Ovis aries: one gene and its partners. The protein of the gene in region 1 interacts with the protein of each later gene in a pairwise test. Links are inferred from orthologs where the notes say so. Each region holds a gene or a part of one and is shown in the gene's direction. Other genes may lie near its edges. The genes, in order: HDAC6, ERBB4 and ERBB2.

Region 1 (9,523 bases):
GCGGGTGTAATGAGGGTGATATGAGGTGGGGTGTCCTGGTCTGGGCACTTGTTCCTTGATCTTCTTACATAGTGCCCCCCTTCTCTCCCACTCACAGGGTCCTTATCGTGGATTGGGATGTGCACCATGGTCAGGGAATACAGTTCGCCTTTGACCAAGATCCTAGGTATGCCATGATGTTAGAGTACTACCCCAAATGCTAGACTCCCAGACACCCCCTACCTTTACAGGCGCAGCCAGAAGGGGCCCCAGAGGGAAGGGAAGGCATTCATGTTCGTTGGTTGGACCTGTCCTGGGAACAGGCTCAATGCTGCCCTCTGCATGTCTGCTGTCTCTCTCAGAATTTCACTCTGAGGCAGGGGCTATTGGGGTCCCCATTTTACAGATCAGGGAACTGAGGCTTACAGGTTAAGAGGTCATACAGAGAAGTTGAAGAGACAAAATTTGAGCCCACAGGTATTTGGAGAGCTCATTTACCAAGTTACCCAGGAGCTGAAGTGAACCTCAAAATACTATTTTGTTTTCCAATTATTTGTTAAAAAATTAAAGGGAGTTAATTCCCTGGTCACCTAGTGGTTAGGATTCTGGGCTTTCACTGCCACAGCTGGGGTTCAATCCCTGGTCAGGGAACTGAGATCCCACAAGCTGTATGGCACAGCCAAAAAAAAGTAAATAATATCAAAATGTCTAAAGCAGTGACTCTCCTGTAATTCCCATCACCTCAAAAGTAACTGAATTTTTCCTGTAGATGTACAAATATTCATCATTATCATTACTATTATTAATATACTACCACTACATTTTCTTCGGCAACTTGCTTTTTTGTTTTTAACAGTATGGTGTGGGCACCTCTCCATGTTAGTACCTCTGAAAAGCATCTCATTCTTTGTAAGGCTCTACCATGTTCCATGGTATGGCTGTAACTTTGGTCATTTAATCCTAGGACATTTATAGTGCTTCCCAGTCTTTGCTATTACGAACAATTCTACAGTGAATAGTCTGGTAAATAAATAATTTTATGCTTCTCTGAGCACATCTGTAGGATGTTTTATCTGGGCTTTTATTGAATTGACTGCATAAATTCTACTTTCTTCCTTGTAAAAGGGCTCTTGCGCTCCTGTAGCACTTTATCTAATCTAGGTTGGTGGTTCTCCAGACATTGCTTTGTTTATTTTCCATCATTCAGTGTTGCCGACACATGTTCAGATATCAGTCTGATTTCATTCCTTTCCAATATATTTTCCTTTCTGGATGGTTTTAGGTTCTTCCTGGTGCCCTAAATTTTCACTTCACCACTGATTCTACTTACCAGTGGTAGACATTTTTACGTCAGAATATTCACACCTTTCTTAAATCCTCAGAAGTTTTCTGTTAGATTGTTGATGATTTCTTCTACTGTGTCCTCTCTGGTCTCTCTTGTTAGTCAGATGTTAGACTTCTGGGTTGATCCTCTGTATCTCTTATTTTTTATCTCATATCTTCTGTCTCTTTTTCCTTTTGCTCTGTGTCCTGGGAGATTTACTCAACTTCACCTTCTAATTCAACAGTCCTTCTGTTGAATTGTGTGTTTATGAATTCTTTTAATTTCCAAGAACACTTTCTTGCTCTCTGTGTCTATGCTCTAAGCTTTAGTTTACTTATTTTCTTTGTCTTCATAACAGTGTTTTAAGAACTATCCTCCTGATGGAGTTAAGAGACAGAGATAAGGAAGCTGGATGATTGAAGGTCATGGATAGATTTATTTTTCATTTATACATTCTTATTCATAAGGAAGAATATATTCATAGTTCTTCATACCTATACATATAGTCAGTCATATATCCACAGAAGAATACAGCTGTTGCCTCCAAGGCATTTATTAAAAAGAATGACTAATCATATTAAGGAAATCTTATTATCATGCCTAAGAAAATTAACAAGAATTCCATTAATAAACTAAAACTTAAAAGGAAAAAATAAATTTAGTGAGTTTGTCATTCAGTGACAGAATTGACTTTGAGTGCATTGACCTAGATTTGTGCTTGACTTCTCCAGAAGGGAAACTTCAAAACTGTCTTGGGTATCCTCCCAACATGTTCAGTATGGGAGAGGGCTCACTGGGGCCCTGGACCCTCAGACAACTTTCCAGGGATTTGTTGAAGTCGCTAATTGTCTGACGTCCTTTCTCCCACTCTGTTTTCCTGCGTTGATTCTTGTTTAAAATATCTTTACTATCTTTTGATAGGATTGTAGGGGAGTGAGGAGGTAAACCTGTGCTATTAATCTACCATTCTTTTACTGGAAGTTGATTGAACTTATTTTATTTATTTACTTATTTTTGGCCATGCATCAGCTTGTGGGATCTTAGTTCCCTGATCAGGGATGGAACCCAGACCCTTGGCAATGAAAGCACAGAGTCCTAACCACTGGGCCATTAGGGAATTCCCAGTTGAATTTATTTTATCTCCTTCTGTTTGTTTTATAAACTTGGACTTTCTTCAGATCTTTTCTTTATTCCTTTCTTTCCCTGATGATAATCTTTATGTTCTACTATATATTTATCTATCAGAGTCAAAAGTGAAACAATCACCCCCTCATCTGCTCAAAGACCAGAGTTTTCGCATGGACTTCATCCCCTAATTCCAAGATAGTTTTCTTCGATTTCAGAAATCCTTTTGTACCAGTTTGCATTTAATTTCACAACTACAGTATCAACATTTATTAAAATGTGACTGTTAAGTTTGCCTAGATTCATTGCTTACCACTATTTCTTGCCTTTTCCTAAAATAGAAAAAAAAAAATGCTGCCTTAAATCCTTTCTGGAACAAGGCAGGAAGTGAATGAACAGATGGATAGAAGGATGGATGAGAGATATTCATTTTGATTGCCTCAGTCAAAATCAAGCCCTCCTACTGGGCTTACTATCAGAACATATACCATTGTGACTTTTCAGTATCTGTTCTGTGTCAGTCTTCCTCACTGCTCTGAGTGCTCAGTTTCTCTAGAAAACAGAAGTGATAGAGGTGGCCTGTAAGGTATTGGAGAGAAGGAATTGCCCCCTCACTGGCCTCATGGAGCCCCAGCCAGCATCCTCACTCTAGCCCCACATAGCTCCTGAGTCTCCCCACTTCCTTCAGTGAAAATACTAAGCTCCCTAGCCTTGCCTGGCATTCTTTTCAGCCTTACCTGGCTCCCACTAAGAGCCACATGCCCCTATGGGCCTTCAGTGTCACAGTGTTCTGTGTTCACTACCGTGGTAACAGAGGCAGGTAGGTAAGCAGGCATGATCTAGAGTTCCCAATGGGATCAGGAGCCCTTAGGGGTGGAATAGACCTGATAGCTCCTGGGGTCTCAGAGGTAGAACTGTATGGGCACTGAAAGGGGCAGCAGTGTTTGCTGTGGGAGGAATTTCAGTAAGAGACCAAATGAATGAGTAAGTGAGGTAATGGATAAATGGAAGAATTAATGAATGGGAGGATGAATAATTTGGCAACTGAATGGAAGAATGAATATATGAATTTAAAAATTCATGGGGAAATTATTGAGAGAATGAATGAGTGGTTAAGTCAACTGTGGTAGCTGTGGGTTGGAGGTTTCTGGGGAATACTGACTGAACCCCCCACCTCTTTTTTTTTCTCTGCCTCCAGTGTCCTCTATTTCTCCATCCACCGCTATGAGCAAGGTCGGTTCTGGCCCCATCTTAAGGCCTCTAATTGGTCCACCACAGGTTTAGGCCAAGGCCAGGGATACACCATCAACGTGCCTTGGAACCAGGTCAGTGTCTGCATACCCTTCACCCCCAAAGTGAGACCCACTTCTGCCCTTCAGAGCAGATGGCAGCACGTCCCCATTATACCTCCCTGTCTGCAGGTGGGGATGCAAGATGCTGACTACATCGCCGCTTTCCTTCACGTCCTCCTGCCAGTTGCATTTGAGGTCCTGGGGCTCTGGGGTGTGCTGGGGCAGAGGTGATGTTGAAGGATGGGCCATGATAGCAGGTGGCCTCATGTGATTCCTCCCTCCTTCAGTTCCAGCCCCAGCTGGTCCTGGTAGCCGCTGGATTTGATGCCCTCCAAGGGGACCCCAAGGTAAGGCAGGTACTTGGGGATGGCGGGAGGGCAGAAGGAGGCCCTGTGGAGCCAGGCTGACCCTCCGTGTCCCCCCCAGGGTGAGATGGCCGCCACTCCAGCAGGGTTCGCCCAGCTCACCCATCTGCTCATGGGTCTGGCAGAAGGCAAGCTGATCCTCTCACTGGAGGTGAGTGACTCATTCCACTTCAGCCCTTGGATCCTGGAAGACAGAAGAACAACATTCAAATCTGGCAGAAGTTCCTGTCCCAGCATTTCCACTTACTAGCTGGACAACCTCACCTACGTCCCTCAACTTCCCTAGGCCTCTGCTTCCCTTATGTCAGAGGTGTATCATAATAGTTGTAACCACCTCAGACTATTTGCTCAGCAAATGAAATCACCCTTCAAATGCCTTGGCATGCAGCCAGCACCACCCCAGTGTCATTCATACTCTTCTCTGATAACATCTGGCTCTTTCCTGCCCACCCTCACATGAATTCCTTCTCCCAGGGTGGCTATAATCTCCGCTCTCTGGCTGAAGGTGTCAGCGCCTCCCTCCACACCCTTCTGGGTGACCCTTGTCCTATGTTAGAGTCTCCTGGTGCCCCCTGCCCGAGGTAAGCCCAGGTGGAGGAGGGGAGAAGCAGGCCCCTCACTGCTCATTCAGGAGCTGGTTGGTCACATTTCTCCCTCACTTGACCTCCAGTGCCCAGGTGTCACTCTCCTGTGCTCTAGAAGCCCTGGAACCCTTCTGGGAGAGCCTTGTGAGATCAGGTAGGTGTCAGGGAGTATGTTGGGTCAGGGGTTGGGTAAGGAATGAGCTGTGGGAGGAGTTTCTCTTCAGACCCCACTCTGACCTTCCGGAAGCCACCTTGCTGGGGGGAGGGGAGAATCATGCCCTCTCTCTTACTGGGCCCTGATTTCAGGCCTCCCACCCCTTTTTAGGTTTGGGTAAACCTCGTTCCAGAGTATTACAGGGATCTAGGTTGGGGGCGGCATAAGGGAGTAGGGTGAATGTGGCCTCCCCTTGCAGTTGAGAGCCTGGAAGAAAAGGACACTGTGGAGAAGGATGATGTGGAAGAGAAGGAGGAAGAGAAACTGCCACAGTCCTCTGAGCTCTCCATTCCGATATGGCCGGTGCTACAGGCTCGCACGGGGTTGGTCTATGACCAGCGGATGATGGAGCACTACAACTTGTGGGATAAGTAAGCAGTCAGAGAACCAGGCTAAGTGGGAAGTGGGGAGGGACCCCCGCTTTCAGTAGTAAGCCCTGCCTCTGTTCCCTCACTCCTAGCTACCACCCTGAGATGCCCCAGCGCATCCACTGTATCATGCATCACCTGGACGAACTGGGCCTTGCCAAGCGCTGCCACTCCCTGCCCGCAAGGCCTGCTACAGATGCTGAGCTGCTCACCTGCCACAGGTCAGACCCATGTGGCCAGGGTAGGATGGGCCTCAGAGCATGGAGCCTGGGCTTGCCTCTCTGATACATGGAGCTGTTACAAGACATGGGGTGGGGAAGGATGTGGAGGGGACAGAATTACCTGGCTGTCTTCTCAAGTGCCCCCTCTGTACCTCCAGTGCTGAGCACTTGGAACGTCTGCGGGCCACGGAGAAGATGAAGACCCGGGAGCTGCGCCGTGAGGGTGCCAACTATGACTCCATCTACATCTGCTCCAGCACTTTTGCCTGCGCACAGCTGGCTGCAGGCGCCGCCTGTCGCCTGGTGGAGGCAGTACTGGCAGGAGAGGTGCCTGTGCTTTGGGGAGGGGACCTTGGGCTCCTGGCAAGGAAGTCCTGGGAGGGGGGGGGCGGGCAAGAAAGAGGCAGCTCTGAGAGTTGGGCCAGGCCTGAGGAAAGGGGACTTGGAGAGCAGTCCGCAATGGAAGGGGACTACAGCCCCAGCTCGCCAGAGGCCTTACTCACAGGGAAGTGCACCCAGGGGGATGGGGCCTACAGGGCTGTGGGGAGGAGGCCTTAGCAGCTGGTGGAGTAGTAGGGGCACAAGAGACAGGGAAGGGGAGGGAAAGCGGTGAGGGTGGGTGGTCTAATCTTTGCTTCCTGCCCCTCCCCCAGGTTTTGAATGGCATTGCTGTAGTGCGACCTCCTGGCCACCATGCAGAGCCGGATGCAGCTTGTGGTTTCTGTTTTTTTAATTCTGTGGCTGTGGCTGCTCGCCATGCCCAGGCCATCAGTGGGCATGCACTGCGGTAAGGCTCCCTGCCCCCACTGCCCAGTGCTTACTCAGCAGGCCCTGTAATGCAGCCCCCAAAGTTACCCAGGACCACCCCAGGGTCCAGTTGCCCAGCACTTCCAGAAAAGGACCAAGGAGGATCTAGCTTCTGGGGCCTGACCCAAATGGGATCCCCAGATTGTGGCATGCAGGTGCTTATCAAACAGAATCCAAGGTCCCCTGCCCCAGAATTTCTGGCCCTTGATGACTATCCTAACAGAACCCAGGGGCTGGCTTCTGGTGCTTACTTCAAAAGGCCCATGGCACTTATCCACATGGGGCCTAGGATCTGGCCCTGAGCACCTGCTCTGGCCCACTGTGAAGCCCTTAGGACTCTGATAGGACCCACAAGCCTGCCACCCAGCGCTTTCCCCAGGGACTCAGGGTCCTGCCACCCGCAGTAAATGTCCCGGCACACAGACTCCAGGGATGTAGCCCCTGCCCTCCCCCAGGGAACCAGTGTTGCCAGGTAACTAAGGTGCTGTCCCCTCCTCAGGATCCTGATCGTGGACTGGGACATCCATCATGGTAATGGAACTCAGCACATATTTGAGGAGGACCCCAGGTGAGGGGCTGGGGCAGGGGCTGGAGTGTGGTCAGGGAGATGGGCAGGCCATGCCTCAGGGGCACCTTGCTAACCAGCTGTTGTCCCCCCTTCCCACCCTGTCCCCACAGTGTGCTGTACATTTCCCTGCACCGCTATGATCATGGTACCTTCTTTCCCATGGGGAATGAGGGTGCCTGTACCCGGATAGGTAAAGCTACAGGCACAGGATTCACTGTCAATGTGGCCTGGAATGGGCCCCGCATGGGTGATGCTGACTACCTGGCTGCCTGGCACCGTCTGGTGCTTCCCATTGCTTATGAGGTATGATTCGGGGTGCACGTGATGAGACTCTGTATGTGGTAGTGAGTGTGCATGTGTCTAACTTACAGGTGACTGATCCTGTGAGAGGGCCTGTGGGTGACAGTAGTGATGGCTTTGGGTGAGGGGATGTGACTGTGTGATGGCCTTTGGGTATGTCTGTGCAGTATCTGTCTGTGACTGCCCTCTGTGTGTAACTGTGAGGACTTCTGGGTGTGTGAGAGTAATCTTGCCTGCAATTATGGCTGGTTGTGAACATGTCCCATGTGTACACCATCACTAGTGCTGGTCTGTGTGTGATGGTGGCCCCATGTGACTGCCATCTTTATGGAACTGCACGGTGTTGAGGGGTTCGAGTATGTGTGAGACTCTACGGGTAGCTATTTGTCACTACCATTGCTCTGTGTGATGGCTGTGATATTGTGCACAGCTCTCTCTCTGACAGTCATCTCTCCAACTGTCTGCTATGGCCTATATATTAATATATATTTGCCTGACACTAAGTAGCTATAGGTAACTCTTCTCCATGTATAAACCATGTATGTCCGTGGCAAATCATGTATGCATGATTTACTCTGAGGGTTGATGAATGTGAGTGCCATTTTTGTGACCTCTGTGCAGACATGCATGCTCAGATGTGTATGTATGTCTGTGCACAGTGGCTGTGACTACCATCTGTGTTTGTGTAACTCTGAAATAGTATGTGTGTGACTGTGCAAGTGTCCATTTCCTGTGGGTGCAACAGCATGTATGACTGTTTTGCTTTTGGTGGTGACGTGTATAATTGTGTTGGTGCAGGAGTAGCTGTGGATTACTGTTCCCTCTGAGAAATTATGTGTGTGTGTGTATGTGTGACTAATACCATGAATAGTCCAGTCTGTATGAGACTGTTTGATTGTGTGTGGCTGTGTGTGACCGTCTTCTGTGTGTGGCACTTTTGTTGTAATCTTCTATGATGGAAGCATGTGTGTACCTCTCTTTAGCACTGTGTATAAAACCCTGTGTTGTGCACATGTGTCCCATGTTTGATCCAGGGAGGGGAGTGTTTGCCTCTTGGTCTCAGCCTTGGGTGTATATTGTGAGAACATAATCTCTCTGTTTCATGTCACTGTCTCTTGACATGAGTCTCCACAGCTTACAATTCTGCTTCATGTCCCCATCCATGCATTTCTCACATCTGCATCTCTCTATCTTGTGTCTCAAAATCTGTGTCTGATGTGTCCATGTCTCCAAGTCTCTCTTGTGTCTCCACGTCCTGCCCTCCCTATTTTCAGGGCTCTGGGCTTGTGTCTCCTGGGCTCCAGGTCCCATGTCTCAATCCCTCTGACTTGCATCACCCTGTTTTCATTTGTCCTTGTCTCCATGTCTCTGGGTCTCCCTGAGCTACTAAGTCCCCCTGCCCCCTCCTTCATGCTCAGTGTGTCTCTTCTCTCTCTGCCTCAGTTTAACCCAGAACTGGTGCTGGTCTCAGCTGGCTTCGACGCTGCTCGGGGGGATCCTCTGGGTGGCTGCCAGGTGTCGCCTGAGGGCTATGCCCACCTCACCCACCTGCTGATGGGCTTGGCCAATGGCCATATCATCCTAATCCTAGAGGTAACTCTCTTAGTCCCTCTTCCCATGGTCGGAGGATGGTCGGGAAGGCTTGGGTGTCCCCACCTGGGATTGTGGGCATACACTGTGCATTAATAACACCAGCATGAGCAGCTTTAATTGAGTACTCACTATGTGCAGGACACTTCCCTCAGTACTTAACATGCGTAACTAATGCATTTACTTAAAGCAGTCTTGGGAGGTAAGGTCTGCTGACCTTACCATTTTCCTCTCTCAAGATCAGGGAAGCTGAAATACAGAGAGCTGTAGTGACTAGCCAGAGATCACACATTTAATAATGGCAGAGGCAGGCTTGGACCCAAGAAGCCTGGCGCCAAAGTCTGTGCTTTTTACCTCTGCTTGAGCTGTATCCAACAAAATCCCAGGACAAAGGAAGTTCACTGACCTTTTGTAAATTACTCAGTGCCCCTGACCCTTGTACCTCAGTATCCTTGTCTGTAAGGTGTGGCTGGCTAATCGTGGAGGGGTGCCTGGAATGTCATAAGCCTTGTACAAGAGCTGTAGCTTATTGTTACACATTGTTCATATGTTAGTTTTACTCTCTCAGCAACCTTCTGTGCTGTTATTATTGCTCCTTTACAGATGAGGACAAAAAGTCACAGAAAGATTAATTGACTAGTAAGATGTCCCACCATGTGCTCAGGCCTGCTTGTGGCAGGGCGGAGTGGTGGACTCTCTGCTCAGGTAGCCCAGGTTTCAACCTCAGTGCTACTTCTTACCATCTGTTAGGATCTCCGACAAGTCATCTAATCACTCTGAGCCAAA
Region 2 (10,105 bases), on another chromosome or scaffold:
AGAGAAGAAGCCTCTATAAGCTTAGCACACTTTCTAAACTAGTAGAACCTTTTTGCTGAAGCTTTGAAGATTCATGCATCCCTATACAAACCTGAGAAGAAAATACATGGTTTCTAAATTATGACTTCAGTTGACTATTTGGCAGGTGTTCAAGAAAAATTCTAAGAACTCTTTGTGATCTTGGTCAGAATAATATCCATTTGTGTGTGTATGGCAAATGTAACATTAGATTCTTTTGAGAAATCTTCTTTAACCTAAACATGATCAAGCTCTTTGCTAAGTTAAGAATACAGAAGGAAGGAAATGCAGCATAAGAAGCTACCTGAAAAAATAACAGACTTTATCTTGATTCAGATTTCAGGCTAGGTAGAGTCATAGCCTTGATAAGTAACCTAAGTTAATAAATTTATAAATAAATGGACATGCAAAAACAGAACTATCCCTTTTCCTCTTAGATTTCAATTGGCAAAAGTTATTAAAGGTTTGCTTTGTTTTTTAAAGTTATACGGCAGTAGAAAAAGCTGTGTGGGGCAAAGGACTTAGATGAAGAAAATACATAAAGCAGAAGAAACACAACAGGAAAAGGCCTTACCAGGGAGATCATTTTTGCATAACTTCTTTGCAAAGACTACTCTGTCCACCAGGTTGAAATTATTTTGCAGTTTCAACCACAAACAAAAAATGTCTGTAAGGACTTGGACAGACACTGATGAATGGATATGAAAGCAACACAGATATGATTTATTTACATTCAGTCACTCCTCCTTAGCACTTGAAAAATTACAGCTTCAGTTCAGTTGTTCAGTCGTGACTGACTCTTTGCAACCCCATGGACTGCAGCACGCCAGTCTTCCCTGTCCATCACCAGCTCCCAGAGCTTGCTCAAACTCATGTCCATTGAGTTGGTGATGCCATCCACCATCTTACCCTCTGTCGTCCCCTTCTCCTCCCACCTTCAATCTTTCCCAGCATAAGTGTCTTATCCAATAAGTCAGTTCCTCCCATCGGGTGGCCAAAGGATTGGAGTTTCAGCTTCTGCATCAGTCCTTCCAATGGATATACAGGGCTGATTTCTTTAGGATTGACTGGTTGGATCTCTTTGCAGTCCAACGGACTCTCAAGAGTCTTCTCCAACACCTCAGTTCAAAAGCATCAATTCTTCCTCATTCAGCTTTCTTTATGGTCCAACTCTCACATCCATACATGACTACTGGAAAAATCAAAGCTTTGGCTAGACGGACCTTTGTCAACAAAGTAACGTGTCTGCTTTTTAATATGCCATGTAGGTTGGTCATAGCTTTTCTTCCAAGAAGCAAGTGTCTTTTAATTTCATGGCTGAAGTCACCATCTGCAGTGATTTTGGAGCCCAAGAAAATAAAGTCTGTCACTGTTTCCATTGTTTCCCCCTCTGTTTGCCATGAGGTGATGGGACTGATGCCATGATCTTAGTTTTTTGAATGTTGAGTTTTAAGGCAATTTTTTTTCACTCTCTTCTTTCATTTTCATTAAGAGGATCTTCAGGTCCTCTTCACTTTCTGCCATAAGGGTGGTGTCATTAATTAAGGCTTAATCATGCACATAAACGAAAACATTAACCAAACCCAAAATATTCCCGGGAAGTCCTCTTTGAATATTAAATTAACTAAAGTAACAAAAACATTTCTTTAATGTATATTTATGAATTTTTTTAATGTTTGAAATTTTAAATTTTGTTTTTATGCTTTGAGACATTGAACATCACCAAAGTATTAGAGAATTTCAAAACTCTTGGGTTAAGAGCAACGATGTTATTCCAAGTGCTAGTTAATAAAAAGCAGCCAACCAGAGGCAAAAACACTGTATCCGTCATCTGATTGATTATCATAATACTGAACTTGATTGGTATTTGTATCTACCAGAATTTCTTGGCTATTCGAATAGAAAAGATCCAGAGTTTTGAGTAGCTCACAGTAATATTGTGAAGGTTATTTGGATATTTTCCTAAGGCCGTTTAATATGTGGCTGTGTTGGTGCCCCAGATGAAGTAGTATGTAGGAGTGAGTGGATAAAAGGGAAAGAATATAAGAAGTAAATGAAATCTGTGGAAATTGTGACTTGTACTTAGTGAGTGATCAGTAAATCATAGATTCATAGTCTTAGATTTGGGACATAACCATCCCTTTCTTTAACGATGAGGCCAAGGGCTCAGGTCTGTGAAGTGAGTTGTTTATGATCACCAGATAACTTAGAAACATATTGAGTGAGATGATGCTGGCCAGGGAGGGAAATTAGAATTCTGTATTTATTTCTAAATGTTCAGGAGAAGACTAATGATTCATGATAGGTTCTTGTTCTTTTTCTTACTTGGTATTTGTCCCAAATACAGTGAACTCTGAGATCAGTGTGTTTCTTTCTCCTACCAGTAGTATTCTGCCACTCATGATGTCAAAATTCTCCTTGAATTCTACCACTAATGGAGGAAATGAAGTGAAAGAAAGAGGTCGACTCAGGATAGACCAGTCACCGTTGAATATGATGCTCTTTTTGAGTAGGGCTTTCATGCAAATTCATTCCATAGGCTAGTGGTCAGATACACAACTTTGGCCAGGTATCAATCAGTAGGTTAGAACCAGGAAAATGGGATTAAGCCTGAACAACTTGAGGATTAAAGGCCAATCACAGGTGTGTCAAGTCTAATGTAATTGGTGGGTATCTTGTATAGTTTGTCTACCATCCAAAATATATGTAAGACCAATTTTTTAAAACCAATGAATATTAACTGAAATACCTCTTTTACCAAGAATTACTTTAGATACATGATTGAAACCAAAGTATATAGGAGAGTTCCTGCCCCAACAGAACTATCAAATTGATGGAGAGTAAAAATTATTACAATGGACTCAAGTAGAAAAAAAAAATCCAGAGTATTTAATTTTTCCCTCAATTTAAGCTAAAATACACTATTTATTTCTTCATTTCTTTCAAAGTAATTGTTGTCAGAAAGAAGACTTTTTCAATACATAAATTTAAGTTTTTCTAAAAGCAATACTTAAAAAAAATCACTTAAGTTGCATTTCTGGGGAGAGGTGGAAATTTTTAAAAGAAGTAGTTTTCATGGAAGAGAGGTGTTTGAGAGTCATCCTAAGAAATACCAGGGGATTGGGGGAAAGGGGAGTGGAAAGAGATTGAATGAAAGAAAAGAAAAAGGGAAGACGGTGAGAAAAACAGCAAAGATAATCCCAAAGAGCAGTGTGAACACTTCTGCTGCAGTCAGTACCACTGGCCAAGTCACCATCACCTGCTCAAGGCTTAGTTTCTCCTGGCCCTGTGCTACTTCTGGATAAAGCTGCATGCTCAGCTTGTTTGGCCTCCTCTCTGTTCCTCTTACTTGCTGTGGACCTAAGAAAGGGAAGGCTGAGGCCTCTGGGAAGAAGCTGCTGTTTCACTCTGTTCCAACTCCACGCAAATTCTTAAGGGACACAACTATAGATAAAAGACGTGGGGGAGGAATAGGAAGGTCTCAAATGATGAGCGAGGAGGCAGGGTGACTTAATTTTTAAGCTCCCCTGATACTTTTATGTAGTTGCTGCTTCTAGAGAAGCTGAAAAGGGAAAATCATTCATAGAACGCCTGTGCAAATAGCAAACCAATAATCCCCTGCCCTCAGGAGGTTCTGGCCTTTGTCCTGGGTACAGTTTCAGAGTTGTAAAAAGCAAGGGATATGTGCACTGATATAATCCAATCCCATATGTTTCAGACTAAGAAGAGTTCAGAAACTCCTATGGCTAGCAATGACTTCTGGAGGTCGTATGAACATGGAAGAGGACTAAAGCAGGACCCACTGTAGGATAAACCTAATTATTTAAGGTTGGTTATATCCTATCATTTGCCTTAAGTTATTTCAGACTGATCAGCTCAGCCCTGCATCAATTTCTAGCCATTTAGAACCAAATTGGTGGCTTTGGACTAGAATCGGCTTAATGAGAATGAACCTAAAACCAAGTTGTTCTAGAGTCCAAGGAAAAGATGAAGTGACCCCATAAAGTCTAAAAAATCTAAGGATGCAGCTCTACAAAAGTGAAAGTCTAGTTTGATCAATTTGCGAGCGTGGGAATGATGGGAGAGGTTGTATAGTTAGTTATACAGACTGAAGAAAGAGGAGTGCTTAGGTTCCCAGGACTACCTACTCCGCAGATGTTAACAATTACTGAACCAGCTTTTGAACTACTGTCTGAATGTGAAGCACGAGGAAGTAGGAAGCGAGGTAGCCTAATACAATTGAAGCAGCGTATTCTTTTCTTCTGTTTCTAGGGCAGGTCCAGTCTGTGGATGAGCACCGTGGAGTGTGGAGTAAATGGTGACTTTCTGGCTAAAAAAAAAATCTTTTTTGTAAAGCATCTCTCAGGTGGTCTCCACGCTTTCCGGGCCAGCTGTCCGCCGTGTGTCTGGGGGTGGGGGGGGGTGGTCTCTGATTCAGTTTGTGGCCTCCGGTGAGCCCTTTAAATTCAGCTCCCCCCGCCCCCACCGCTAGGCTCCCAGCTCCCTGACAGGTGTTTTCCCAACTCCTGAGGCCCACGATTTTGGGGAGTGGCTGAACCAATAAGATTTCCCTTTGGGGGGGAAGGCGTGGCTAGTTGGGTCAGAGCGGGGGCGGGGTTTGCGCGGCTGAGCAGAGCCAGCCTGGCTGCGTGGAGGGTTGTTTTACCCACCGCCCGCTCGCCCCCAACCTTTTTTTTTTTCCTCCCGGACGGAGTCTTATTAATTTCTCGGTGGGGCTGCAGCTGGAGACCGCGGAGCGTTGGAAATGACGCTCGGAGCTTTAATTACCGCAGCCGCCGGACAAGTGTGAAGAAAGCTGACAGCAAAAAAAAAAAAAAAAGGACAGGATTGGGGGTGAAGCGAGAAGCTTCCCCCTCCCGCCCCTTTCCTCCCAATTTGGACTGGAGGTGCAAGGAAACTGAAAAGGGAGTCGAACAGAGTCGGGCTGGGGGGAGAGGCCGGAAACCTACCGCCTGTTTGCAATCAACTTTTTTTTTTTTTGGAAACCCTCTTCCGAACCCTTTCTTTTTATTGTTGGCCAACCAGGGAGAGAGAGCGAGAAAGTGAGGAGGGAGCGAGAAAACGGAGGCTCACACGGGGACGTAGCTGCCCGGTCCGGCCCGGAGCGCCGCCGCACACCCTCCAGTACACTCCCACCCGCGCGCGCCCTCCCGCGCACCCTCTCCCGGTCCTCCGGGTCCGGGCCCTAGACCCGCGGACGCGGACTCGGTCGCCCGCGCTCGGAGCTGGTGCACCGCGCGCGCCAGTGCCCCTCGAGCCCCCACGCGCGCCCGGCCGAGGGATCTCCTCCGCGTGCCCGAAAGGGGATTATGCCATTTGGACATGTAATTGTCAGCACTGGATCTGAGACTTCCAAAAAATGAAGCTGGCGACAGGACTGTGGGTCTGGGTGAGCCTTCTCGTGGCGGCGGGGACCGTCCAGCCCAGCTCTTCTCAGTCAGGTGGGTCGCGGTCCTTCTCGCGCTCCCAGGGTTGAACCTGCTGCTGCCGGCCGAGCGGCGCCGGGTGGCTCCTCGCCCCCTGCGCCCTTAGCCCAACCAGAGACCCTCTCGCTCTCGGGCGTGGAGGGACCACGTCACCCGCGCCTCTTCCTTGTGTTTTTCGTTCGCCCCTCTTTCTATCCCAAACTTACCCTCTGCGTGGGCATGTGTTTCTCGTGAAAAACCACTCTGCGCCCCTTTCTCCGTCCCTTTTCTTTCTCTCTCCCCTTGTTTATTTCTCGCGCGTTTTCTTCGAGCCTCTCTAAGCCGGATCCCTTCTGGTAGCGCCTGTTGTGCGGGACGTGGGAGACCCAAAGCCGGAGTCAGAGGAGACGCTCCTTGCAGCGTCTGCCTACCCCCCGCCCCCGCCCGCGAGGGAAGAAGCCTCGGAGAAGCGTTGCCCTGCCGGGGCTCCGAGGCAGGATTGGGATCCCGGGGCCGTGGCAGCTGGGCTCCGGGGAGCGGGAGGGCAGTGGGGAGAGGAGCTCCGAGAGCCGGCTTTGCACCTGTGTGCGCTGCCCGCGGCCGCTGCGTCCCTGGCCGTCCGAGCCTGCGGGGTCAGACCCGACTCGAGCCCAGCCTGGGAGCTGGAGCACGGCGGGAGGACACGCCTCGGCCGGGGGGCCCGGGAACGCAAGGCCTCCGCTGGCGTCCCCAGCCCTCGCCCCGCGGACTAAGGGGGGCTGGCTGGCTTGCTTGACCTTTTTTTTTTTTTTTTTTTTTTAATGGCCTGACTGACTTAAGCCGGGAGCCCGGCCTTCCCGTCGGTTTCTGTGTTTGGCTTCAGGAAGAGTTCTTCCTGTAGTTCAACTTGCTATTGGCCGGAGTCCCTCCAACTTCTGTTTACTGCCGGGCGCGGCTGCCGAGCCAACCCGTCAGGCGAATTGATAGAACCCAAGGCGGGTGCTGCGGCACTGGGTGCGCTACCACTGCTGCCCGGGGAGCTCGCGCCCCGGGACCCCGCGGGGCAGGAGGCGAACTGACCCCCGGGGAGGAGGCGCGGCGGGGCCCGCAGGGTGGATGACAGCCCCTGCGGGCCCAGGGAGCTCAAAGTTTCTGACACTTGAGTTTCCTGAGGATGAAAGTGGGACAGGAAAGAAAGGGCCAGGAAAACCGGGGACTGACGTGGCCAAGGGGGGCCTTTTGGAGAGCCGGGGAGATGTCCGGAACCATACGGGGCTGGTCGCGAGGGCGTGGGAGGCACCTTGAGAAGATAAAGCCCCCGGGGAGTGGCGAGAGGGAGAGTTTCAGGCCCTCGGAGCGTGTCCTTCTGACCTCACCAAGAAAACAGCGCGCTGGAGTTTTCCCGCTCCGCCCCCGCCGCCGCCGCCTCCCCCCGCTCCCCCCTCGCCTAGTAAATAACAAGTTACAATCCTCGAGCCTTTCAAAATGACCTTCGAATGGCACAATGTGCGCCGTTTGTTCTGGCCGTTTGCACCCTCCCAATTACTCCGAAATTCTTCATGCATACCAGGTCCCGGGCTCCAGCCACCTCCGGAATTACACCAACACCGACTTGAGATTCCAAGCGGCCTCTTAGATACATCCCTTTTTATCTCCCTCCCCACTCCGCGTCCCTTCATATTTCCCCTCAATGGGTTGATTATGCACATTGAACCATTCAGAAGCAGTTGCGACTGACACGCAGGCTTAGCCGAGAGGAATTTCCACCGGGCGACCTACTGGGGGGCTGTCTGGTGCAATCTCTGCCGCTGGGGGACCCGGCTGCGAGTCCGCAGCGATTGGGTATTAACTGTGCGGCTCGGGCTTGAGCTATGCCGAAAAGCCCTTTTCAGAATTTCTGCAAGGAATGTAATCCAAATTAGTTCTGCAGCTGTCCTCTTCCTCGTCTCTGGCGACACCGACTCGCACCCTCGCTGGTCTCTTCTCGCTTTCCCCCCGTGAATTGTCAGACCCACACAAGTGAGCCCAGTTAGAGCGCGAGGATTAGCGTGCCATTGTTGTTCCGAGTGTGACTCTGTACTTGAAATTCTGGGGGCACAAAGGCGAGCCTCACTTGTTCCAAACACAAAGTGATCTAGATGAAAGGGCCGCACAAAGAAAAGCTCCCGGTTGCCTCCCTGGTATAATTTTAACACGCAGGCTAAGGTGATCCACTGGAAACTGTAAATGCCTCCAGGACACCTTCCCCCCCCCCTCCCCCCAGTCTTCCCCACCCCCACCCTGCCGCACCTGACAGGAAAAGTTTGGCTGGTTTTAATGTGGTGCTTTTATAAAACCAAGTTACATTCTAGGGTATGAGTGAGGCTCTGTGTGTTTGTGGCTGTGGATGTATGGCTGTATGTTCCCAAGTAAATACATATTGCGTGTCTCCCCTCTCGCGGTTAGCCGTCAGTAGCAGTTTGGAGGAGTTTGTTTTGGTCCAAATGAGAAATTAAGTGCGGATAAGTAAACTAAGCTGCCAGAGGGCGACAAGATGTTGAGTGAATTGCTTTTAGATGAAACAAATTAAGGAAACGAGGGAAGACAATCTGCTTCTCGCATTATTAGACACGCTTGGAGTTCGGGGGAAAGTGGCATATTTTTGAAATGCTAATTTCTTAAGAAGCAGAAGGAATGCACCTTATTTACTGCTCTATGTGAACAGAATAAAAATACGAGATGAGCAGGGTTCTGTTGTGTAGATCTAAGATATAAAATAGTTGTATCTGAAGAGGGCATGTTCTTATTTTTCTCTTCCTTGGGGGGGAAAAATCAGCGTTAGAGAAGATTTTTTGTTTGTTTTGTTTTTTAGTATTCTGAAAGACTTCGTCTCATTTCGAGTGATTTATTTTATCGAAAAATATTATAGCCAAGAGCCCTTTATTTGGCTGTTATAAAACCTTTATCTCTAAAAAGAATTCCAAAATTTCAGTCTTCCCGCCATGATGGAAAAATGATCAGTATCACCTTTGTGTTGAAATATATATGTATATATGTGTAGTGGTACTGAGGTGGTGGTCTTACGTACCTTAATAGATATGTGATGAACAAGTTCAGCCCCTATTTTTTATTTGCAAGTAACTTAGTCCTGCTTTTCATTCTATAAAAGAGCATGTATTTTTCCTCCATCCTTGAGATATATCTCCAGAATCAAATTTTTAAACATTTGAGAAGAAAAAGGTGAATAAAACTTAGTTAAATGATGAAAAGATGTTCAATATAATTAAAAAAAATCAGTTCTCTCCCTGCATGTATTTATTGTAAACACACCCATGAGTACAGTTTCTGCTTTTTCTTTTCTTTCAATTTTTGAAATTCATATATATGTAAAAGGAGCCTTTTTAAAGTAAGGTATTTTTTTTTCTTCAAGATGCTTCCAAATAAATGTATACCTTTTATTGTGACTGCAAATCACTTGAAAATACTATAATGTGGACTGATATGGTAAAATTGGATGGTAAAATTGTGTCATGATTCTTTGATTTCTGATTATTTTTTCCTTAAACCAAACTCCTTTTATTTTTTTCATACATGCATAGAAAGTCAAATTTTTTGAAATCAAGGTACTTGCTCCTTTATATGTATAATTTTCATTTAGTCACTGAATATGTGTCTTAATTAAGAAATTGCATTAGAATATTTACCAGGGCATGCACTTCATGGAAGATTTATGTATTTTTTGTTCTAGCCTGAACACACTTAAGTTTGCATTGACTGATTTTTAGAGTTTGCATTCATTTCAGGAAAAACCATATTTTCTTCTTAAAGTAGATTCAAATATTTAGTATTCATGAGCTTTCATCCCTTTGGTTCTTAAATAGAAGTGCTATTTATCATCTGTCTTATGCATTCACCCTTTCCATTGCTATAGGTTCTTTTTTTACATCTTATTATTTATTGAGTTTACACATATGAATATATATTTTCCCCATCATCACTAAGGGTATTCTTTTTGTGCATGTCTTTCCCAGCAACCTGCTACTCAGCCACTGCAGGAGTCCTCTGAGCCAGTTTTCATTCTTTCTTTCTGATAAATCTGATATGGCTGGTTGGCTGGACAATCGCAAGCCATTCCATTGCTCAGATTTATTCTTGAAAGAAAATAAAAAGGCATCGATCCGAGCTCACTAGCACATCTCAAAAACCCTGACTCCAAGGCCAAATTTTTCTACAGAGAAGTCCCTTTTTTCCCTTCTCTCTCCCTCTTTTCCCCCTCTTGACCATAGAAGTTAGACTACTGCCGCTTCAAAAATGCTAGGGATGCAAGGCAATGTGCTGTATCTGAATATTCTCTGAAGCCCGGTGATTAGAGCCACCTTGAGATTAATGACTATGTAAGGCACACATTTTAGAAAATGACTTAGTGCACCTTAAACATTGCTGTGTTTTAAAGTGGTGTCATTTTTTGTATTACTTCAATCCAGTTGTTAAGAAAAGTTAGTATATATTAAAAGCAAGAATACGTTTTTGCTTTATTTGACAGTGTCCTGCTGCTGTTGGATATCCATGAGTAAATTTTAAGTGCCTGTAACATAAAGCAAATGATCAAAAAAACTCTGTTACTTGCAAACTTGTTGGCACTTGAAATCACAGTCGATTTTACCCCTTTGAGAGATACTGCTTTATAGAGAGAGATGTTAATC
Region 3 (9,523 bases), on another chromosome or scaffold:
TCCTTTTTTTTTTAACTACTCAATCTGCAGTATGGATGTAGAGTTATTTAGTTGTGTCCCTGCCTGAGAGTACTGACTGAACTTGTTTCCTTTTTTCTCTTTTTGGCAGTTTATTGCACTTGAGCTCCACGTACAAGTGAGCATCTTGTACATGCCCCCTAGTGTACAGGTGTTGGCATTTTCAGGGTTTATCCCCAGAGGTGGAACCGCTGGGAGGACAGGAGGAACTGCGGGAGTTTGCCCGACTACAGTAGTAGTTTACGCTGGCTTCCTCTACAGAGGAGATGGCTAAGCTCTTGAACCCGATGCTCCTTTGGGTGCCACCACTTCCTTCCCACCACAGGGAGGTGCAAATGATATGGGTTTACAGACTGGAGGACTCCCCCGTGGGATGGTAGAAAGAGCCCTGGTGACCTCGAACCCAGTTTCTGCCTTTGTCAAGTGGGGATCCTAACCCAGTCACACCCACCTCCTGGGATCCTGTGAGGCTGGAGTGAGTGCAGGAGGTGGTTCCCAGCCTTGTTGACGGGACTCTCTCTCTCCTGCAGCTGTGTGGACTTGGATGACAAGGGCTGTCCCGCCGAGCAGAGAGCCAGGTCAGCCTGGTCCCCAGAATGCACCCCACATTGCCCTCAGTTCCCCACTGACCCCTGGGTGGTCCCTGCTGCTAGGTGTCATGTCCTGACATGACACGTGTCCTCCCCAGCCCACTCTTCCACTGTGGATGCTTCTTTCAGTTAGCTTCAACTAGGGGATGGAGGGGCTTCCCAGGTGGTGCAGGGGTCAATTGGCCTGCTAGTGCAGGAGACACAAGAGACTGGGGTTCAATCTCTGGGCTGCGAACATCCCCTGGAGTAAGAAATAACGACCTACTCCAGTATTCTTGCCTCGGAAATCCCATGGACAGAGAGGCCTGGCTGGCTACACTCAACGGGGTTGCAGAGAGGTGGACACAACTGGGAGGCTCAGCACATATGCACACACACATGCAGTGGGTGGAAGGCCTGCTCGGCTTGCTTGGGGGTCAGGGGGTAGGAAGACACCCAGCACCTCCCCACCCTCCCTGTATAGCTGGGGGTCTCATAAGGGACACAGGCAGCCTTCAACTCCCTGGGACTCGAGGCACGTTGAGAAGAGAGCATGGCTGCAGCACTGAGGGAGAGACAGTGAATACTTCCCTGGGGTCAGTGGGAGGCTTCAGGCACATGAGCTAGGTTTTGAAAGAGGGGCGCGAAATGTCACTTGTATTAGGAAAGCAACCAGGCAGCATGGTAAGAGGTGTCCAGAAAGTCTAGGATGTATTTGCTGAAGATTCTGCTGTGGTGGGTAACTGACTAAGCACAGAGGAAGGAGTAGGGGGTGAAGTCTGAGTCAGTTCAGGGCCGGATCTGGAGGGCATAGGCTCTCCCCTACCATGAGGCCACAGGCCCTGTGATGTCCATCACTACCATCGCTGGACTTGATTTCTAGGCAGAGGGGTGTTTTGGGAAGGGTTTTAGGGAGAAAAAGATCGGAGTGTGTCCTGAGTAAGCATTTGTCCATGACATAAGGGTCCATTTGAGGTCTGTGATAAGCCAGCCCTTGGCTAAGCAAGGGAGGGGAACAAGGATGACAAGGATGTAGGGTCAGTGCCCAGGAGATCCTTCTATCCTAGGATAAGCAGAGTCTTGAAAGATGACCTCATGCAGAAATGGTGATCCAGGCAGAAGTATTATAACAACGGCTGGGAGATTTGGAAATCGTGACCTATGGGTGAAAATTCTGGCTAGAACATCAGAATCTCTGTGTGCACCTTCCTGGGCCCCACCTCATACCACAGTCAAAGTCTCTGGAGGGTGGAGCTCCGTACTCTCACAGGTTGACAAGAACCCTGGGCTAGAGCCATGGGCAAGAGCATAGACAACTTGGAGATGTAGGTGTAGAGGGTTTTGAATCTTAGCAAGGAGTCTGGACTTTATTTCCCAGACAGTAAGGAGCCAAGATGGATTTTAGAGTAGGTCAGACAGGATGGGAGCCTGTGGGTCACCCTTCTGACTTCCCTTTCCAAATGCCAGTGACAGTCAGCCCCCTCTCCCTCCTCCCCCCACCCCACCGCGCCCCACCGTGGGACCCCTTCATCCCCCCTGCCCCAGACTGGTCCCCAATCCATGATCCTGGCTCCTGCCCCCAGCCCTGTGACATCCATCATTGCCGCTGTGGTGGGCGTTCTGCTGGTTGTCCTTGTGGGGCTGGTGTTCGGCATCCTCATTAAGCGAAGGCGGCAGAAGATCCGGAAGTATACAATGCGGCGGCTGCTGCAGGAGACGGAGGTGAGGCGACCTGAGGGTCTCTCTCGAGCTCTGGGGTCTGCGGCCCAACCTGCAGCACTGACCCACTACCCCCTCACCCCAGCTGGTGGAGCCCCTGACGCCCAGCGGAGCGATGCCCAATCAGGCTCAGATGCGGATCTTAAAAGAGACAGAGCTGAGGAAAGTGAAGGTGCTAGGATCTGGAGCTTTTGGCACCGTCTACAAGGTCAGGGGTGGGGCCAAAGTCCCCGGGTGGGCGGTCCTAGAGGATGCTGCAGGGTGTGGCGGAGGGTGTGCTGGGACAACAGCCAGGAACCGCGGGTGGTGCAGTTGAGTAGGCACTTAAGGATAGGGGATTGGGAGTGGCCAGTGGGTCTAAATGGTGAGGCTGCTGCTAAATAATGGGATTGGCCCAAGGGTTGGGGAGGGAATTGGGAGCACAAGCAGTGACCCCAAGTAGGACGGCTGCAGGTTGATCTGGCCGGTCCTTTTGCTCACATCCTCCTCTCTGCCCAGGGCATCTGGATCCCCGATGGGGAAAATGTGAAAATCCCCGTGGCCATCAAGGTGTTGAGGGAAAACACATCTCCCAAAGCCAACAAGGAAATCTTGGACGTAAGCCCTTCCACCCTGTCCAGCTGGGGGTATGGGGGACTGGGCTCTCTCTCTCTTCACTGGGGTTTTGGGGGACACCCTGTGATTCCCCCAAATGTCTACTCTTACCCTCCCTAGTCTGTGGGCCATGGTTCCGATTTGTGATGAATGGGATTGGGTTGGCGGAGGGCCCGTTATCATGGCTTAGCCCTTGGGAGGGGTGTGTGGTGGTTGGGGGTTAGTGGTTTCCCATACCCTCTCAGTGTGTGCCCTTGTTTCCAGGAAGCATATGTGATGGCTGGTGTAGGCTCCCCATATGTGTCCCGCCTCCTGGGCATCTGCCTGACATCCACAGTGCAGCTGGTGACACAGCTTATGCCCTATGGCTGCCTCCTCGACCACGTCCGAGAACACCGTGGGCGCCTGGGCTCCCAGGACCTGCTGAACTGGTGTGTGCAGATTGCCAAGGTATGCACTTTGGGGGCCAGGGCTCTGCAGGTGCCCTTGGGGAGCAAGCCTCTGGATAGGGAGGTTTCCTGGGAGAGTTTTGGCAGAGCGAGGTCCACACTGATGCCTCTGACCCCAGGGGATGAGCTACTTGGAGGATGTGCGGCTCGTGCATAGGGACCTGGCTGCCCGGAACGTGCTGGTCAAGAGTCCCAACCATGTGAAGATTACAGACTTCGGGCTAGCGCGACTGCTAGACATTGACGAGACAGAGTACCACGCAGATGGGGGCAAGGTTAGAGGAGCAAACCGAAACAAGGGGGAGTGGGGTCTGGCCCCTGGGAGAACTCAGACCTGGTTGGAGGACTTCCTTCTCTGCTCTACCAGGTGCCCATCAAGTGGATGGCATTGGAGTCCATTCTCCGCCGGCGGTTCACCCACCAGAGTGACGTGTGGAGCTATGGTGTGTGATGGAGTGGGTAGGGAGGGTGGACAAGGAGCCATGGCCCTGGGGAGAATGTGGGTGGAAGGATGGGGTGAACTGATAGACACCTTTGGTATAAATGTGAGAAGGAAGGAAGTGGCTGCCAGTGCCTCAGGCTGCCAGAGTGTGTGTGCTTCCCAGGGACTGGGAAAAGACCAAGTTATCTCCTGTCCTTTGGCATTGCATCTTTCCTCCTTCCCCCATGGTGCCAGGCTCTTCGGCAGAGCCTCTGAGGCTCCGTACACTAAAGCTGCCTCTGGTCCTCCCACCCCATCTATGCCCCAGGTGTGACTGTGTGGGAGCTGATGACTTTTGGGGCCAAACCTTATGATGGGATCCCAGCCCGGGAGATTCCTGACCTGCTGGAGAAGGGAGAACGGCTGCCCCAGCCCCCCATCTGCACCATTGATGTCTACATGATCATGGTCAAATGTACGTTCTTGAGCTGTGTTGGCTGCTTGGAGGAGGGGTGGGTGGTCCTGGGCGGATGGGCCTACAAGGGGCATGGGCCAAGAGCATGGTGATAAGGTTAATGGGTCTCAGAAGGCTCTCCCTGCCCTTTTACAGTACCAGTCCAGAGGAGCTAGCGAGGGCCAGCTAGGAAAAAAGACTGATCCAAAGTAAAAAGGAGAAACTGGTAGATTCTCCATCATCAGAGGGCTTTGGACTCTAGTGTTGTCTAGACTGGGCGTGAGGGTGAGGGGCGCTGCATGCAGGCTGCAGCCAGAACTGAGATGCCAGGCTCTTGCCCACCCCCAGGTTGGATGATTGACTCTGAATGTCGGCCGAGGTTCCGGGAGTTAGTGACTGAATTCTCCCGCATGGCCAGGGACCCCCAGCGCTTTGTGGTCATCCAGGTACTGAACCTTTCACCCCATCCCTGCCTATGGCTAAGAGCACTCTCCCTTAGAAGGGAGGAAAGGAAGAATGATTCCTGGGTCCCAGGCTTCCAAGCTCCTGCCTGACTCATCAGACTTCTAGCCCTCCCTGAGCCACCCCTAGGAGGCTGCGTACTGGGCTGGGGAGAGGCTGCCATGCGTCTCCCTCCTCCCCAGAATGAAGACTTGGGCCCTGCTAGCCCCCTGGATAGCACCTTCTACCGCTCGCTGCTGGAGGATGACGACATGGGAGACCTGGTGGATGCGGAGGAGTACCTGGTACCCCAGCAGGGCTTCTTCTGCCCAGACCCTGCCCCAGGAGCTGGAGGCACGGCCCACCGCAGGCACCGCAGCACATCCACCAGGGTTAGTGCTCCCATCGCATGGGGTGGGTGTCGTTGGTTACCTCCCGACTCCAGCGGACCAGGGTTCCTTCCTCCGATGTCCTCCAGCTGTTACCTCTCATGAAGGAGGCCCCATTTTCCCTAAGAAGGATTCTTACTGCTTTCCAACCGTGATCCCATTCTTTCTACCATGCCTCTGTCATACATCAGAGATGATTTATCTCCTGGGACTCTGTCACTTCCCATGGAACCTCCATCTCAGATCCATGAATGACCTCCCTTTTGACCTTCTCTTGTCCTCAGAGTGGTGGTGGTGAGCTGACACTGGGGCTGGAGCCCTCTGAGGAGGAGCCCCCCAGATCTCCGCTGGCACCTTCCGAAGGGGCAGGCTCTGATGTGTTTGATGGCGACTTGGGAATGGGGGCGGCCAAGGGGCTGCAGTCCCTCCCCCAACACGACTCTAGCCCTCTACAGCGGTACAGCGAGGACCCCACAGTACCCCTTTCTCCCGAGGCTGATGGCTACGTTGCCCCCTCGACCTGCAGCCCCCAGCCCGGTATGAAGTCAGGCTTGAGCTGAGAGGTGGGGATTGGGGGTGCTCTGCCCAGGGCCTGCTGCAGGGCAGTTGTAGCAGCTGGGACACACAGATTTCACCCTCTTACGATTCCTTCTCCTGTCCTTTCAGAATACGTGAACCAGCCAGAGGTTCGCCCACAGCCCCCGTCACCCCTAGAGGGTCCTCTGCCGCCTCCTCGACCTGCAGGTTCCACTCTGGAAAGGCCCAAGACGCTCTCCCCTGGGAAGAATGGGGTTGTCAAAGACGTTTTTGCCTTTGGGGCTGCCGTGGAGAACCCCGAGTACTTGGCACCCCGGGGCAGGGCCGCCCCTCAGTCCCACCCTTCTCCAGCCTTCAGCCCAGCCTTTGACAACCTCTACTACTGGGACCAGGACCCATCAGAGCGGGGCACTCCATCCAGCTCCTTTGAAGGGACCCCTACGGCAGAGAACCCTGAGTACCTGGGCCTGGACATGCCAGTATGAGCCAAAAGGCCAGGGCCACTGAGGCCCTGCTGAACCCTCAGGGCATGTGGAAGGCCTGACTTCTGGCCCACGTCGGCACCAGGCAGGGAGCAGGCCCTTGGATCACGTCCAGGGGAGCCTGCCATGCCAGAAATCTCCTTTCCTACTTCAACTCCTAGGTGGCTGAGAGCGGCCCAGCCTGACTTCTTCCAGACCCTTGGCACTGAACGACTTAGGGAGGCTGGGCCGAGTGCGAAGAAGGCCCCAAGGGGGTGTCTAGGAACTACAGCAACCCATTCAGAGACTGTCCCTGAGACCCAGCTCTGTCCCTGGGAAGGAGGGAGCAGCAGCAGCACCCAGATCCAGTCTTTGTACAGACTTTTTTGGTTTTGTTTTTACTTATGTTTTTTTGTTTATTTGTTTTTTTAAAAATGAAATAAGGACTTGGTGGAGAGTGGGTATTGGAGCAGGGGCATCCCTGGGGTTGGGGGAGGGATGTCCTCCACACTCACTTTCTCCATTTGCAAATATATTTTGGAAAACAGCTGGACACCAGCCTATGTCTAGGGGTGGCTTGGAGCTGTCCCTTTACTGCTCACCTCCTAACTTACATTCAGTTCATCTTTCCTGGAGGGACTGGCTAGGAATCTTGGGAAAACTTGAATTAGGAGCCTACTTCCAGTTTTCTGGCTCTTGGGTTGCGGGGAAACTGGGAATTGGGATTCTGATCTGAGAGCTCTTTGAAAAGATCATTCTTAGGAAAAAAAAGAACTCCTAAGGCCACCCACCCACCAGAATGGGGTAATTTCCTCTCTGTAGGTAGGGGGAGTCAGGGAAGGACAGAGGAAACAAGATGCACTGTTGACTCATTTTTCTTGCCTTGGCAAGGAAATCACTGAATTAAGAGTAGCTAGGGACAGGGAATCGTGCAGTCCATGGGGTCGCAAAGAGTCAGACATGACTTAGTGACTAAACAAATCCAGAAAAAAACCACCCACCCAGCCAGCACAGTCATGTTGGTGGCATAAAGGTTGGGCTGGCCTCTGTCCCCCTTTCCTCCCTCCCCACAGTCCCAAACTGGACATAAGACACACACTAGTGGGCACAGGAGTTTGCAGTGCCACTTTATTGCCAATAGCTGACATTGCCTGGGGCCAGTGGAAAATAAATTAGAACTATGGTAACATCTGACAGGTATGGCTAAGCTGGAGAGGGGAGCAGGTTTTTGTGGGCACTGATCTTAGGGAAGGGGTGTAAGGTGGCTGTGGAAATGTCCATGGAGAGCATCTCTTCCACCCCTAAGACCACAGAACCATCTCCTCCCTCCTGGTGCCCACCAAAGGGGCAAAGTGGAGGCCAGGGTCTCTTAGCTGCCAGGAGCTCAGTGAGGTGAGACAGGCAGTGGGGAGCCCTCAGCAGGATCAAAGTGGGGCAACCAAGGCTTGGATCCCAGAAGAGAGCAGGAACCGAGAATCACATCCAGTCACAGGATAACACAAGGAGGGCGGCTGTTGGTGATCTTTTCGAGGGGTTCTCCGTTACTGGCTCTTCGGATAGCCTCAATGAGCTAGAGGGCAGAGATGTGGAATGGGATGATGTGTCCCTTGGAGGGGCAAGCTGAACTAGGGTTATTCCCGGTATTGCAAGTACTCACATCTTTCTCATAAGGAAAGCCCCCATTCTCCAGCTTGGAGAACACCAGCTGTCCATTGATTTCAATCTCAAAGGCCCCTAGTATTAAATGAATGAACTGTATGAATGAACTGTATGCTGAGCACAGGCAAAAGGCGGGAAGTTCTACAAAAGGGGGTCTTCCACACTCCTTAGACTTCATACAAGCTCCCTCAGCTACATTAGAGATTCTTCAAGCCATTTCCTAGCCTAGGGTCAAGCCAATGAAACTGAAGGGAGGCATCACCCGTGTGCCCTTCCTTTGAACACCTGGTAACTCAATGGAAGTTTCCCTTCCCTCCAACACTTCGGTCTCACCCGTTTCTCCCAGTAGGCTTCAAATGTGACTCCCCTCACCTATGGAAGGGGACTCAAGCGGGCTGGACATTTTACTACTTGCCAGGTACTGGGGACACTATAAAGCAGCCAATGCCAGAGCTAGAAAGTGATGGAGCTGGGATTTAGAACACTGACTCAGCAGGTGTTCCGCAGCCTCACCTGTGCCCCCCAGGCGCGACTCGATCTCGATGCCTGGATACTGCTCCTTCACGGCACTCGCCAGCTCCAGGTAGGTCGCTTCGAAGCCGCAGGGTTCGCTAGGGAGAAGATACCGGAGGTCCGGTTGGGTTTCGGAAAAGGTACCTCCGGTGGACCCACCCTCGTCCGGCCCGGATCCCCGTCACTGGCAGGGGCCGCTCACCAGTACTCAACCACAATGCGGACCCCATGGCCCGGTTCGGTCTCCCCGGGAGGGGGCGCTACGGCCGTCGTCCCCGTATCCCCGCTCATTGCTGCCAGCTCCCTACAGCCGCTGCTTCCGGGTGTGACGCGACGCCGCGGGCACGTGATGGGGCGGGGCCGCGCGTGACGTCGGGTCGCCCCTGCAGGCGGCTGCTACTGCGTTCTGACCGTGTTACCTACCAGCTAGAGAGCTTGGGCTGGGCCGATCGGCCTAGACCACCTTTCCGGGCCCGAGTTCTCGGAGCGCCGGTCTTGCCCCACATCTAGTGTCCGCTGGACTTCACGGTCTTATTTAATCTAATGACATATCTTAGACTGCAGAGGGCCCGGGGTTGACGGATGATATAGAATAGTTGCCGTTTCTCCTGTCTTGCTGATGGCATTCTAAAGCATTCCACAGTTACACACTCAGGTACTTCTTACTCTTAAACGCTAAACTGCAGGCACAGCCTGGGTAGTTTCCGTGTGTCTCATGCCTTCAGAAACCTTTAGGCTTTAAGGCTTCTATTCCGCAGGCTTTGTGCGGCCGTCCCGTGCACCCAGTTCCTCCACCTCCCCATCTCATCCTACCCCGCCACCGAGCTGGCTTTTTTATTCCCGTTTTGCAGCTCTAGAAACGGAGACTGTCTCCTTGCCTCTTCTTTCCCTGGGCCCCCACCAAAGGATCCTCTCAGGTCACCCACTCTAGCATCCCTTTAAAACATTCATTTCTAAACGATTCAGTGACTTACGGAGTTGTGAAGCCATCTCCACACATTTCCACCGACATAAAAAGAAGTCCCACCTGCGTATTTTCAATCTTTCCAGCTACCTGCTCCAGCCCTAAGCAACCACGGATCTGCTTTCTATCAATTTGCCTTTCCTGGATGTTTCATATAAATGAAATACTATGTAGTCTTTTGCTTCTGACTTCTTGCACTCCTTTTAAAGTTTTTGAGGTTCATCCATGTTATAGCATGTACTAGTGGTTGCCTGGAAAATCCCATGGACGGAGGAGCCTGGGTAGGCTGCAGTCCATGGGGTCACTAAGAGTCGGACGCGACTGAGAGTCTTCAC

What was found.
Region 2: the proteins of HDAC6 (region 1) and ERBB4 interact in a protein complementation assay, tested with the Homo sapiens proteins (2 studies listed by BioGRID and IntAct, with this or other methods). The link is inferred for Ovis aries from reciprocal best matches to the Homo sapiens genes HDAC6 and ERBB4.
Region 3: the proteins of HDAC6 (region 1) and ERBB2 interact in a protein complementation assay, tested with the Homo sapiens proteins (2 studies listed by BioGRID and IntAct, with this or other methods). The link is inferred for Ovis aries from reciprocal best matches to the Homo sapiens genes HDAC6 and ERBB2.

Annotation. Positions count from the first base shown.
Region 1 is NC_056080.1:56,243,628-56,253,150, reverse strand, and holds part of HDAC6 (histone deacetylase 6), read left to right. Parts: intron 1-97; coding exon 98-166; intron 167-3,626; coding exon 3,627-3,753; intron 3,754-3,849; coding exon 3,850-3,915; intron 3,916-4,007; coding exon 4,008-4,067; intron 4,068-4,146; coding exon 4,147-4,236; intron 4,237-4,559; coding exon 4,560-4,666; intron 4,667-4,755; coding exon 4,756-4,823; intron 4,824-5,082; coding exon 5,083-5,254; intron 5,255-5,343; coding exon 5,344-5,472; intron 5,473-5,630; coding exon 5,631-5,799; intron 5,800-6,125; coding exon 6,126-6,259; intron 6,260-6,778; coding exon 6,779-6,847; intron 6,848-6,957; coding exon 6,958-7,150; intron 7,151-8,590; coding exon 8,591-8,740; intron 8,741-9,523.
Region 2 is NC_056055.1:214,421,780-214,431,884, reverse strand, and holds the start of ERBB4 (receptor tyrosine-protein kinase erbB-4), read left to right. Parts: upstream 1-4,646; 5' UTR 4,647-5,398; coding exon 5,399-5,480; intron 5,481-10,105. UniProt on the Homo sapiens protein: Tyrosine-protein kinase that plays an essential role as cell surface receptor for neuregulins and EGF family members and regulates development of the heart, the central nervous system and the mammary gland, gene transcription, cell proliferation, differentiation, migration and apoptosis.
Region 3 is NC_056064.1:39,833,730-39,843,252, forward strand, and holds the end of ERBB2 (receptor tyrosine-protein kinase erbB-2), read left to right. Parts: intron 1-109; coding exon 110-136; intron 137-548; coding exon 549-596; intron 597-2,170; coding exon 2,171-2,309; intron 2,310-2,391; coding exon 2,392-2,514; intron 2,515-2,804; coding exon 2,805-2,903; intron 2,904-3,164; coding exon 3,165-3,350; intron 3,351-3,468; coding exon 3,469-3,624; intron 3,625-3,716; coding exon 3,717-3,792; intron 3,793-4,098; coding exon 4,099-4,245; intron 4,246-4,572; coding exon 4,573-4,670; intron 4,671-4,868; coding exon 4,869-5,057; intron 5,058-5,338; coding exon 5,339-5,591; intron 5,592-5,720; coding exon 5,721-6,076; 3' UTR 6,077-6,605; downstream 6,606-9,523. Other genes in the region: MIEN1 (migration and invasion enhancer 1), read right to left, coding at 7,539-7,622, 7,710-7,786, 8,225-8,322, 8,427-8,515. UniProt on the Homo sapiens protein: Protein tyrosine kinase that is part of several cell surface receptor complexes, but that apparently needs a coreceptor for ligand binding. Essential component of a neuregulin-receptor complex, although neuregulins do not interact with it alone.